Linked DNA regions of Stegostoma tigrinum. The protein of the gene in region 2 interacts with the protein of the main gene of each other region in a pairwise test. Links are inferred from orthologs where the notes say so. Each region holds a gene or a part of one and is shown on either strand. Other genes may lie near its edges.

Region 1 (6,945 bases), on a different chromosome or scaffold from region 2:
GCAGGCATAGCACTTCCTGCAGTTGCAGGGGAAAGTATCGGGTGTGGTGGAGGGGAGTGTGGAGCAAACAAGGGAGTCACGGAGGGAGTGGTCCCTCCAGAAAGCAGATAAGGGTAGGGAGGGGAAAATGTCTTTGGTGGTGGGGTCAGATTGCAGATGGCGGAAGTGTCAGAGGATGACTGGTGGGATCCGGAGGTTGGTGAGGTGGTACATGAGGATGAGGGGGATTCTGTTTTAGTTGTTCTTGTCAGGAGGGGGCGTGAGGGATGAGTTGTGAGAAATGTGGGAGACACGGTCTAGAGCATTGTCGACCACTAAGGTGGGAGAGTTGTAGTCCTTGAAAAATGAGGACATCTGAAATGTACGGGAGTGGAATGCCTCATCCTGGGAGCAGATGTGGCCGAAATGAAGGAATTAGGAATAGGGGATGGCATTTTTGCAGGAAGGTGGGCGGGAGGAGGTGTATTCTAGGTAGCTATGGGAGTCAGTAGGCTTGAAATGGATATCAATTTCCAGGTGGCTGCCAGAGATGGAGACAGAGGGGTCCAGGAAGGAGAGGGAGGTATCAGAGAAGGTCCAGGTGAACTTAAGATTGGGATGGAAGGTGTTGGTGAAGTGGGTGAACTGTTTGAGCTCCTCATGGTAACATGAGGCCGCACCAATACAGTCATCAATGTAACTGAGGAAGAGGTGGGGTGTAGGGCCAGTGTAGGTACGGAAGAGGGATAGTTCCACATAACCTACAAAGAGGCAGGCATAGCTTGGGCCCATGTGGGCACCCATGGCAACCCCCTTTGTCTGTAGGAAGTGGGAGGAATTGAAAGAGAAGTTGTTGAGGGTGAGGACAAGTTCAGTTAAACAGATGATTGTGTCAGTGGAAGGGGACTGGTTGGGTCTGTGGGACAGGAAGAAGCAGAAGGTCTTTAGGCCATCTATATGGGGAATTCAGGTGTATAGGGACTGGGTGTCCATGGTAAAGATGAGGTGTTGGGGACCAGGGAAGTGGATGTTTTGGAGGAGGTAGAGGGCATGGGTGGTGTCACGGACATTGGTAGGAAGTTCCTGGACTGAGCGGGAGAAAATGGAGTCAAAATAGTTGGAGATAAGTTTGGTGGGGCAGGAGCAGGTGGAAACAATGGGTCGACCAGGGCAGCCAGGTTTGTGGATTTTGGGAAAGAGATAGTGGGGTTGGGGAACCACGAGGTTGGAGGCTGTGGATGGGAGGTCACCTGAGGTGATGAGGCTGTGGATGGTTTGGGAGATGATGATTTGGTGGTTGGGGTAGGGTCATGATCAAGGAGGCGGGAGCAAGAGGTGTCAGAGAGCTGGCGCCTGGCCTCTTGAAGTGGTGATGTTGGTTCACAATTACAGGTAGTTCTGCTATAACGCATGTTTTGTTAATGCGAATTGGCTGTAACACGATTGATGAACTGTGGACGCTGTTTCCATAATGAGAACTTTCTGCAGTACAGTACAGTAATTCCCCAATAACGCGATTTTCTATGGCGATTTTCTTTAGCGTGAGGTCACACAAGAATCCAAGTATGGTGTTCTTGGAGAACTATCGCGTACATGTTCTTCAGGTCTGCAAGCGTTGTCCCCTAGCACACAAAAACGGCAACTGCTGGAGAAACGCAACAGGTCTGACAGCGTCTGTGGAGAGAAGGCAAAGTATTGGGTCACTGGACTCGAAGTGCAGCTTTGTTTTTCCTCCACGGATGCTGGCCGACCTAGTACATTCCTCCAGCATCTTCTGTTTTTGTGTGTTCCAGATCTCCAGCATCCGCGTTCTTTGTTTTATTTTACAGTCGGCCTCCATTCTATTTTGAAAAATAGCATAGTCGAGACCTCAGCTTCAACATCTCATTTGAAACATTGCACCTCTGCCAATGTAGCACTCCCTGAACCCTCCACTGAAAGCATCAACTTGGATAAAGTATGTTCCAATCTTTGGAAGGAACTGATGACATGCTGACTAAGACACAAAAGCACAATCAGTGAGCCAGGGTAACACCTAATTTGTGTTTCTCCATCACACAAAGTATTTACACATACATTTTGATAATTGCATTTCTACTCAAAACAACAGAGTGCTATAATTGATTTTAATGTTTATATACCACACAGACTATGGTTATACTGTAACTAAGAAATCTGCTTAGTAGGAAGATCAGCCAACAATGTAACGTGTGCAAACAAACTGAAAACTTGCATTCTGACTACTTAGGGAATGAAGCTGTGTATACTTGCACACGTGCGCAGAACTCCATTCTCTCTGCCAGTACATTTTTTAACAAACTCAAACAGAAGTATTCACTTCATAAAAACGAGTGTAGAAAATGTACTGGCGACGCAATGGAATACTTGGAGCATTTTTAAAACCTACTTACATGCCTTTGGGATTACATTTCGCTCTGTGTCCAATCCAAAACTTGCGGCTGAATGTCTCACAGCACCGGTTTGCACATTTTCTGCAGACAAATTGGGATTTGACTACAAGTGCTGTCTGCCAGTTGGATGACAGCGACACGCTAAACTTGCTTAATGGGTTGAAGACACGTAATGGTTTCAGCGTTAAAATTAAATTCACTAATTTATTGTAGAGCTGTGTAAAACAATAAAATTGTTCCAGTTGGGTGTTTATAAATAACGAAATGTTTACTGTTTTTCATGATGTAACAGTGTACCTCACAAAGGCCCACGGCACAATCACATAAACACTGGACCCCCACTAAACAATGTGAGAGCGTTTGGGGTGAATTTTACACCCAGGTGTGGCTGGTTTGTTGAGTTCCTTATTCCCATCCGATTAGTGCCTCCGTTCCAAGAAAGGCCCGCTCGCTACGTTGTACGTCCGGACAGTCAGTTCCCCTCCGCAATAGTAAACTCAGAGCGAACGGCCCTGTTTTATCACAGGGGATATGTGACGCGGTGAAATGCTTAGTGAAGGGCTGAAGGGTGAAATATGTATGTGATGCGCTTCTCTCTCTTGGAAATTGTGAAATGAATTAATTAATAATAAACAATTCGCCAGCTGTCACGACTGAATTTGCACCGAAGTGCGTCCTCTGGGCAATTAAATACCAAATAAAAACCGATGTCCTCTTTCTAGGAAAGTTAATGTACCTAATCCGCTTGTTTACAATGTAATCTCTTCTAAAAGATTATGAAAGCAACACTTTAGTTTATATTCCAACATAAACAGATGAAAGGTGCTCATAATTTGCCGAGGATCAAAGGGGCTTAGGACATGACTGTAGTAATTCTTATTGTGAGGGAGGGTCTTGTGCCAATGCCCCAATGGAAGCCAACGAGAGAGGGTGGTCGACCTTAAAGAAGCAGCTTCCTCTGCCTTTACCAACCGTTAGAATTGCACCCATTCTCTCCCAGTTATAACCACTGCCGAGCACAGAGCGCCGACTCATTCATTTGCCCTGAACGAAACAAACATGACATCCAGCTTCTTACATAACCTGTGCTGTGCTTGAGCGCACACACACAGCCCTGGCCCGAGGGTGGGAGGCCTGACGTCACCTGTCAGCCAGGGAGACAGCTGCCGAGGTTCAGGAACGGAACCAAACTCCGGATCGAGTGCAAAGCCAGCCGGCCTCCTGCACTGCGCTGGAACTATGCTTTCAATTCATGCGGAAACAGCATGTACCGAAGACAGCGAAAGCTGCAAGTCATGCACATAAATGGTGAGTCCCCTCGCTCCTAGCTCGCCCGCGTGAAGAATAGAATGGGGGAAATGAAAACACGTGCTTTTGTAAAAACGTTGCAATGTCGATAAATTCAGCTGCTCACCAGCATTTCAAACAGGATTCTCACAAAGACGAGCAGACCAAGGCAATATGATTAAAGGTCAGGTAAAAGCAGCCAGTCAGGCGTATTTATTCTTTACTGTTTGGTTTTCATTCTCTCCCGCCCGCTATGTTATTTCGAACCTTGCGCTTTCCCAGGGCATTTTGTTCGCTGACTGTGGGAATAGAGATTTTGAGGGGGCTTTTTTTTTCACTTAGAACTCTGACGTTGCGGCGGGGTTTGGGGTATTTTCTGTTATTTCACACCGCATAGAAGCCGTGTGAGGGAACCCGACAGTTCCTCTCGAATGCAGCACACCAAAAAGTTTGAAAATGTCATTTCAGCGCGGAAACCAGAAAAAAACTGCAGATGAGTTCCGAGGAAGTTAACTCGAATTTCTCTGCACAAGCGCTGCCAGACCTACTGAGCTTTCCCAGCAATTTCTGTTTTTGTTTCATTTCAGCACGATGTTTGTACATGATGGAGTGAAACCGAGTCCTGGTAGACAAGCGAGGAGTATAAATTAGTCCTCGCCTTCTATCTATTTGAAAAACTTTATAATCGGCTTTTTCTTACTTTACGGTATTTGTTTCTGACCGAATATAACTTCTTGATTTGAGATTTTAAACAATCGAAGTTTTGCTGTCGGGTTATAGAGAGAGAAGGCCCTTTCCTCAGCAGCAGCATTACAGACGCTCTCAGAATGGATCTCGACCCAACCTGCAGAGCGGTTGTTAGCGTGGTTCAACATGTTACTGCAGCGATAAAGTATAGAAAGCGAGCAAAAATAAATAACACGCATAGTTTTTAAATGAAATATGTCGCTATTGGGTTCGGGTAGATTACAGGCAGTCATAGATTCGCACTTGGAAACAAAACAAACCATAAACGCACGATGATAATTATACCTGGGGACAGATCCAACTCGAGAAAACGTTAAGTGACTGGAATCGAAGGCAACCCGGTCCCTAGAAGCTACTGGTAGAGAGATTTGTGTTTCCATCAAAGAACAAGAGAGTGTTCACGCTGGTTCTTTAATGTAAACAAACACTTACTACGTGTTGAGGTAAATAAAACTGTATTTGGCTATAGATTTTAGCAATAATGTAGGCTGTAATGTAAATGCATACGTGTGCGGAACAGCTTTTGGGTGGATAGTTTGCGACCGATAACTTTGTTTACAAAATTTATTTACAAGATTTGCAAGATCAAAATTAGTGGTTTTTATAAATTGGAAACAGAAATTGCCGGAAAAGCTCAGCAGCTTTTCTGCAGCAACTATGGAGAGTAATCAGAGTTAATATTTCGGATCCACTGACCCTTCGCACCCGCATTTCTTTGCTTTTTTTGTGTGTTTTTTATCTTCGGCAACCGAATGCCCCGGACTGGAACGTGAACACGATTTTATTTTCAGTCAGTCTGTGATTTCCTGTTAAGCTAAAGAATTTAGTATGTATCAGCATAACGGCTGTGTCCTAACTCAGTGCCCCTGTGAATGCCAAATGAAATCGAAAGTCCAGTTAAAAAGATAAGTTGGTGACAGTGGAACAGTATTTTCTTTGACAAATGTGATCCTGTGAAAGACAGACCTAGTGAATAATCGTTTAGTTTGTTTAGAGGCCTTACCTGCTGGATTGGCTTTGATTGCAATTACTTGCCCCAGTAGTACCTTTCTACTTCTACAATATAATGATTTGTTAACTGCAATCATTCAGATTCAAACATTGCAGTTAAACTAGCAAAGGTCATTTTCGTCCAACACCTGACTCACTTCACATAGCGAAAAAGGTAAAATGTCCTTCAGATTTTTCAAGACATCCACTTATACAGATTTAGTTTTTTTTGTTACTGAGCCCCGTCCAAATGCTCTCCGTGAACGTAATCTACCAACACCTTACAAGAGACAACCTTGAAAACTGGCTTACCTTGAACTGTGTGGTGCAATAGTCGCCCGTAGGTATGATGTCGAACAACCTTTAAAAGTAGCAATGGGGAGCAATGCGATTTGATCTTTGTACAATGTTCCTGGGCCAGTTCCTAGACACCTGATCGCTGGCAGAGATGAAAATCTTACGAGAGAAGGCCGTACGGGTACGTGTTCGGAGGCGGCGGTATTTAAGAGTGCAGATTTGCACAGAGCAAACCTAAGATAATTTCCAATACGAAATGTTACTCTGTCCAAATCATTTATCATTGCCGAAACCTGATCAATAACAGTTATAGATTGAAATATTTGAGTGAAATTCTTCGGCGTGTTAACGTTGCTCATATAAAGAACTTCAGTATTCTTTGGAGGCTAATCATTACAAATTAATAGATGTCATCCCGAGACCTTTGCTATTTTCTACAGATCTGGCTACATCGTTTGTGTGATGTTGGTGAATTATTTCACGCAGTTTTTCTAATGGATGAAATGTGTATCCAGAATTGAAGTGTCGGGCACAAAGTGGGCACTATGAGCCCGGATGGAACCTCTTTATTTAAAAAAAAGTTTATACACTGTATTGTGAGAAGCAATCAAGTTTCTCCTTACATGGCCTCTGCCAGAGGATTGATTCTCCCTCTACCAACTCAGGACGGAAACGAATGGGAAGCGGGGTGGGGATATGTCAGGAAAATCCTGAAATCTGATCGCCGCCCTTTGCAGAGAGTTCTGCTGATCGTAGTATTTAAGACCATAATTGGAACGATTTGTATGTGGAGTCACAACACGGCCAATTTGAAAATTTTCTCCTTTGGGAATAGATAAATGTTTCAAATACGCTAGTGCTATCTTTTCGTCGGCAAAGGGGAAGCAAACTGTACTTGGGCGAACATGTGTATTCGTTAATATAATCAACAAGCAATGCTATCCGATGAAGAAAAAGGATTTGACAAGCAAATTGCTGACAGAATCAGTGTGTCCCTTGCGCCAAGATTCCGCATCTCGCTTGTCAATGGCAACTCAAACATATAAGGGTCAATGGCTTGACTACTGAACTGATTTGTTAATTAGCTACGAGCGTTAATTTTAGGGAATAAAGAATTTAGATTTTTTTCTGAAATTTGCATTACTCAGGGTGAGGCACAACTTTAAAACTATTGGGATAGAGTAAAATAGGAAAGCTGGGGAAAATGAATATATTTCCAAAATGGGGCGGCAAG
Region 2 (6,970 bases):
AAAGGTAACATAATAATTTACTCTGTGTTTTGCTGAAAAACTTTTTTAAATAAGAAAACTACTCCAATTGCATGTTTCTCAGCTTTCCTTAGTATCCTGAAAACAGCATCTTTTATAGATAAAAACTATTTAACATCTTGATAGTAAGTGGGAAAACATAATCTTTGAGGCCTTGTTTAACTGCATACCTAGAAGCAATGATAAAAAACGTTTATTGTCAGAAACTTGATACTGGAGGAGTCCTGTGGGTGGAATTTTTCCTTATGCATAATGGAGGAAGAAAACATTTCAATTGCAAATTGATCATACTTTAGAATTTCAAAACATTTAACTTTTAAATTAAAAAGTACAATAGTACCACTGCAGCATTTTACTGCAAATGCTACAGTTGGTTCAAATAGGTTAATACGCCATGAATTTCATTGTAAACCATAGGGCCAAACTTTCCTTCTGTCAAACGATGTGGACATTGACAAGTCAGTTGGGAAAATATGACAAATTAGAAAATAAGTATTAAAAAGTCAAGAAAAAGAAATTTCTGTCCAGAACTGGAGATCAGAATTACATGTTGTGCTCTCCAGTGTATCCAGTCATGGTCATTGAAGCTCATGGAATGGTTTTTCCATGTCAGACGTCCTTGCAAGTCATGCCTGTGGCGTTGGCACCTTACCATCCAGATTGCAGATACTACTTGAACCAGAATCTCTGCTTTGGATAACTGGAGGGTGTACTGTGGCTATAGGATGGACAATGGGGATCTACGAAAGCTGAGGCATTGCGCCGAGTGAGAACATGAGGATGTTCCTTAGATGGAACCGTGCCTGCAGTATCATACAGCACAGAAGCATTGACCAAATCAATGTAGGCAGGACATTGTTTGTGAATACCATTCAATGAAATTGAGCTGTGCAAAGTCATCTTTCACTGACTGCAAATGATTTATGCTGCTGAGGCCAATATCCCACGTATAATCATGACTGTAAGCGCAGCTTAAAGTTTTGATCCTTCGATGTGACTCATGCTATTTAATAGATGTTAAGGTTACAAATGAATGGAAGCCTTCGCAACATCCAATGCTCCCTCACTGAATTGTGGTAGCTATGGAAAGGACAGCTATCTTTTAAGGATAGCTTGAACATCTTGTGGTGCTAAGGATGGCTAGTTTCTCTGCCTTCATTCTTACAGTCGCTGCTAAAACTCAATTGACTCACCCTGCTGATAATGAAAGGTAATCAACACTTTAAAGGCATCTGGATGGGTACATGAATAGGAAGGGTTTAAGGGGATATAGGTCAAATGCTGGCAAATGGGATTAGGTCAGATTGGGATGTCTGATCGGCGCAGATGACTGAAAGGTCTGTCTCCATTCTATCTGCCTCTATTTACAAATATGATAATGCATTTATAATAAATATCATGTACGCTATTAATATGCCCTTGTAAGGTCTTGTGCCTTTCACTCCTCTACATCTAGATGCAGGCATGGTGTCTGCAGCTGCAGTGAAGTGACAACCCCTTCTTCCACAGTAACTCATATTCTCAAATGCACTATCGTCTGCACTTCTTATATATTGAGATTCTCCCCCATCACAATAATTGTCCTCTTTGCATCCCAGCCAGCAGCATCCAACCTCCACAATTGACAGCCCAACTTTCGTTGACTTGCAATATTGGTAACCTCCAACTACTGTTGTCGCCCTTTAATGAACTGAGGTCTACACTTGTTAGACTTTCAGATATGGTGATTTGGCTGAAGCACATGCAGTGTGTTTGCCTAGTGAGCTGCTGTATCATATTATGGGTGTGACATTGAAATAACACGGTGCTGTACAGGATCATGTCTATCTTTTTGACTCATCACTTCTTACAACTAGGACAAGCTACCTGGTGTTGTGCCTGCACTAAATGGCAAGGCAAGGCAGAAAAACCATCAGCCTTTAAGTTCAGAATGAGTGGGCAATGTGAAAAGAAAACAAGGCAAGCAATGATGCTGTGAGCTTTTAAGTAGATGCAGAGTGAATGGGGTTTAAGAAAGCAAGCAAGGAACCCAGAGATGTTCCCTGGTTTAATTCATGAGATGGGTGCCTGACTCTGCGCTTTTCAAGCAGCGTTACAGTAAAAATTTGGAGTGCAGAACCATATTGCAAGTTAGTTGGATATGTGCCATGCGGATGCAAAGAGATTGGCATGTGACTGATGCCAACCTCTTTGAATTGGCTACGTGGTGTCGATGCCCGTGGAACACGCCCGGAGATGCAGATGACTGATTCCAAGATGGTGGCCTGGAGGAGCATGCAGGTGATTGAGGTTGCCAGATATCTGTTTCAAAGTTCATGTCAGGAATTGTCGCTGTCTAATTTATTTTCGGCATTTAGGAGAACAGGAAATTGCATTTCAATGAGGTAAGATTAGGTGTGATAGCATATTATCGTTATACAAGGTGACCTGTTGCTGCTCACTAGTATGCTTCTTATGTTGTTCAAAACCTGATTGCAGAATCTGATTCCTTTTTCTTGACGTTGAGGATTTAATTTTTGCTGATCTTGCCATATTTTCCCAACTGTCTTGCCAGTGTTCACATCGTGGGGGAGTTGGGGACTTACCACCTAAATTATTATATTATGAAATAGCAACCAAACTGATTTAATTGGTTTAAAAAAATTCTTAGCATCTAAGTTTGAAATGCTTCTCAGCAAACAATGAAGGGTGGCATGGTGGCTCACACTGCCAGGGATGTGGCTAAAATTCCAGCCTTGGGCAACTATCTGTGTGGAGTTGGCACATTCTCCTCGTGTCTGCGTAGGTTTCCTTCAGTTGCTCTGGTTTCCTCCCACAGTCTATAGGTGTGTACGGTGGGTGGATTGGCCATGCTAAATTGCCCATAGTGTTCAGGAACGTGTAGGTTAGATGGAATAGTCATGGGACATGAAGGTATACAGGGACAGTTTAAGTGGATACGTCTGGATGGGATGCTCTTTGGACAGCCAGTGTAGACTAGTTGGGCCGAATAGCCTGCTTCCACCCTGTAGGGATTCTATGAAGTTTCACTCACTGGCATCCTTTTAATGAGTCCTGATGTGAGATTCACATAAATGAGAATTAAAATTGAAACTTTGCCACCAATAAAATGCAAAATCACATTGGTCAATAATTTCACCAAAAAGCATGCCTTTAAAATTGGACCAACGATAAAAAGGTTTGTTTCTGCTTCTTCATTCAGCCTATATAAGACAAAATTTACACAAGCACAGAAATTCAACGGCTGAACATTACTGCCACCTGCAGTTTTCTCAGAATCATTGACAATTGACAACATAATTCTAAATACAATAGGCTAGCTACCGAGTCTACCATACCAGTAGACCCATGATTATGCTATTGTGGAGTGTGAACAAATATCTGAAGGATCATTTGCTCTTTCCTAACTTCAAGCCAGATCACCATTGAGACAGCATGAGGGTGAGTAAGATACATGATTCCAAATAAGATGAAATTCATGTATGGTGGATTATTCCTTAAAAATTTCAAAAATTTGCTTTGTTTTCTATTATGAGAAGATATTTATGACTGAATCATTACTATATTTGAGATTATGAATATATAAAAGATAATATTAATGGCAATTTCAGATTTTTTCTTGTCTTAAAATTGCTGCCGTGAACATTTATGGCTTCCTGTTTTCTTGTCTTTTACAGAATCTTAGCACTACTCGTAATGTAGAAAACACACAGCACCTGTTTAGGTAAGAATCTATTCAGCTAAAATACAAAGTAATTAATGTAGGAACAAACTATCCCCAGAACACTAGGTGATGCTCTAGCACTGTTGTTGCATCAGGATAATGTAACATCTCATGCTTTGTAAAGGAAATAAAGCAGCTATGATAGAGAGGCTGATGTATTCCAGCTATCCTGGTTGGATTGTGATCTGTCAGTCAGCCTTTTATCCCCAACCCTATTCACTTGTCCAAGGGGTTGAATGCCGAGGTTGTTGGTGGCTGCTTGTACTAGATCTGGCGGTTGAGCAAAAATCAGTATGAATCTCACCCGAGGGACTATGAGGATGCCCTGCCTAAGTGTGTCAATGCAATAGTCATGTGGCTGTGAATAACAGCAAGCTCTGATCATGAGAGGAGGAAATCTTCAAGCAACTAATGTGCTTTTTTTCACCTGCAGTCTCCTTGATTCTTGTTTAACTGTTAATTTTGGATTATCTTCGGCATCTTGTATTCATCACTACTTCCTGAAAAAGTCAACATAGAGCTAGGAGCAGCATCACTTCAGCTTGAATAAGGACTCACTCTGGAGATAGGAAACCTGGCAGATTTGTTTTAAATCAGCAAATCAAAAGTTGTGAATGGATTTTATTTGGTCTGACCTGAAAAAAAATCACCTGATGCCTATTAATTCGGTTCTAAGGACAATATTAAATATTGATTAATTAAATATCTTCAAATTAATCAAGTTTATATTAGATAATATTTATGTTTCACTGACAGAAAGATGTTTTTGCTTTCAAAAAATTCTACAAATTCAGATGGTAAAATAATGGTGAGAAGGTTTCTTGTAACCTTAAGGCCTTTCAGGTAAGTTTACCTTCAAGTTTTGTTTTCAATTACACATATAAAATAATTTAGTATTGATGATTGATATGACTTGTGTGGAACACTTGTGATCAATGCTTGTGTCAAGCAAAACTTACACTTTAATCTCATTGTAACTGCTGCTGGTCTAGATTATATGGTTATGAATCTCAGTTAATGTTTGTCATTTCAGTATAAAGACAGCTTTCCATGCTGGCAACACTTACAGTATTTACGTTTGCAATGCTCTGGGACCACCCTAATTCAAATGATGCTTTCTATTCAATGTAGCAATTGAGTTTGAGATGAATCTATGAGAGGCAGACAATACCATATTCTCTGTTTTTCATTCGTGGAAAGTTACATTTAAAACATAGAGGGTAAGGTGTGGAGTTGTGGCTGATGGGTGCGGGCACCAGGAGACGGCTAGTCACATTGAAATCACTCACCTTCCCACTATGAGATGCCACATGTGTTTCAGAATACATCCTGGTGTGATTGATCTTGTTTCTCCATGCTATTTCCATGGGGTCATGGTGTTAAGTACATGTTCAAGGATATAGCTAGGGCCGGGGGAGGGGATGGAGCTTGACGTTTGTTCAGTAACAGTTAAAAATACAAATCTATAAAATATCAGTGTATGAAATGTTACGTAAATATGTAAACTGATAATCTTGCAAAATCATTAAAACTGAATTTCAGAAAGGGTACATTTTAAAATATTGGTCGTAATTACATTGATATTAATTACAGTAATTTGCATGGCAAAACAAGAATGCTTTCTTCAATTGATGAACTTTGTGAAGCAATTGATTAATCTTGTGTTGCAAATTCACCGCATACAGCTAGGAACATATTCAAAAAGGATGCTCTAGAGTGTTATTGTTATTGTTGAACAGACATTTCTGTTTCTGTGTGTTGATCTGAAATTTAAGAGGACCTGTTTAACAATATCCAAATGATAGAGAAAAAGATGTGTATTTCATATTTAAAAGAAAATGCAGAAGTTGACCTAATTATTATTGCCAGAAATTTAAAATTGTAGAGGCAGGAATTCACTGCTTTTAGGGAAAGTACTTCTGGGAAACAAAATACATAAATAAGAGAATGTTCCTGTACCTTTTGATGACTTTCAGCCTCACGTACTTAATACCTACATATTCTTCAGGAGCTGGACTTGATCTAATTTCATTGTCAACATGTGGTACAGTGACAAAAGTAATAGGATCACCGTTATACCAGAGTCCTTCTAGGGTAGGCATAGAAGCAGACATATGTCAGAATAAATAATTTGGGGATGTGCTGCTACACAATCCCTCTCATTTTTTAAATTGCTCACCTACTTCATCTCCTGCCTGAAAGCCAACAATTAAATGTAGGGCTAGCCTAGAATGAATCTAAGCCTAAACATTGATTAAATAAATGGTACTGTTCATTTATTGCTTAGTATCAAACATAAAATGTGTTTTCTTAAAATATGTTAGAAATAAGTTGCCACCTCAGAAGCATTATGCCAATTTTTAAGATTTAGTATATGTGCATGGACAGCAGAAGTACATCTATTGTTCTTACTACATTATGCCGTTCAGCAGGTCACATAGTACCACCATGCTGTTGAATCCAATTATGAGTTACTAAGTTAGAATGAAGTATGGTCATACTTTTAAGCAAACAGTCAAAGTGTACAAGTGAATAAAGTAAAATTGTAAATTGACAACAGTATACGTGTAATCAAGTATACAATATAGAACACATTATATTTCTAGTATTCTCATATACTAGCTAACTATAAAGCAAAAACTTGTACGTTAGTCTGATATGCTCTCTGCTTGATTCTAGGTTATTTGTGGCTGGAATTGGATTCTTCACCCTCTGTTTTATAATGACCTCCTTTGGCGGACAGCTTACAGGCAAGAGAGTGGGAGACTCACCTTTTGGCATTAGACAATTAGGTAGCAAATCTGAAGGTAAATGTAGCTTTATGTCAAGTGCCATTACATTAACCTATTTACTGCTATCCATCTCTGAAAAAATTAAAAGAACCTGGACATACTCCAGCAAATTTGTCAAACGTGATTTCCCTGTAACAAAATCTTGTTGATTATGTTTTATTGCATTAAGCTTTCGTCAATGCCCTGCCATTTCTTCCTTAATAATGCGCTCCAGCATTTTCACAATGACAGCCATTAGGCTAACTTGACTGTAGTTTGCTAGTTTCTTTTTGGGATTTGGGGAACAAATTCCAGCCCAGAGCCACTGATACTTTTGCCATTGACCATAGGTGTGAACAATCTGAATCTCTTCCCAGTAAAACAACAGTGATCCCTTTGAAAAGGGTGAGTGATCACCCAATACCAAGTAATGCCTTAGGAGTAAGTTGTCTTGATC

The links.
Region 1: the proteins of alpha-1,6-mannosylglycoprotein 6-beta-N-acetylglucosaminyltransferase B (region 2) and pitx1 interact in a two-hybrid assay, tested with the Homo sapiens proteins (2 studies listed by BioGRID). The link is inferred for Stegostoma tigrinum from reciprocal best matches to the Homo sapiens genes MGAT5B and PITX1.

What each region holds. Positions count from the first base shown.
Region 1 is NC_081366.1:31,311,097-31,318,041, reverse strand, and holds the start of pitx1 (pituitary homeobox 1), read left to right. Parts: upstream 1-3,836; 5' UTR 3,837-3,851; coding exon 3,852-3,866; intron 3,867-6,945. UniProt on the Homo sapiens protein: Sequence-specific transcription factor that binds gene promoters and activates their transcription. May play a role in the development of anterior structures, and in particular, the brain and facies and in specifying the identity or structure of hindlimb.
Region 2 is NC_081375.1:32,599,345-32,606,314, reverse strand, and holds the start of alpha-1,6-mannosylglycoprotein 6-beta-N-acetylglucosaminyltransferase B, read left to right. Parts: upstream 1-3,895; 5' UTR 3,896-4,502; coding exon 4,503-4,585; intron 4,586-6,421; coding exon 6,422-6,549; intron 6,550-6,970. UniProt on the Homo sapiens protein: Glycosyltransferase that acts on alpha-linked mannose of N-glycans and O-mannosyl glycans.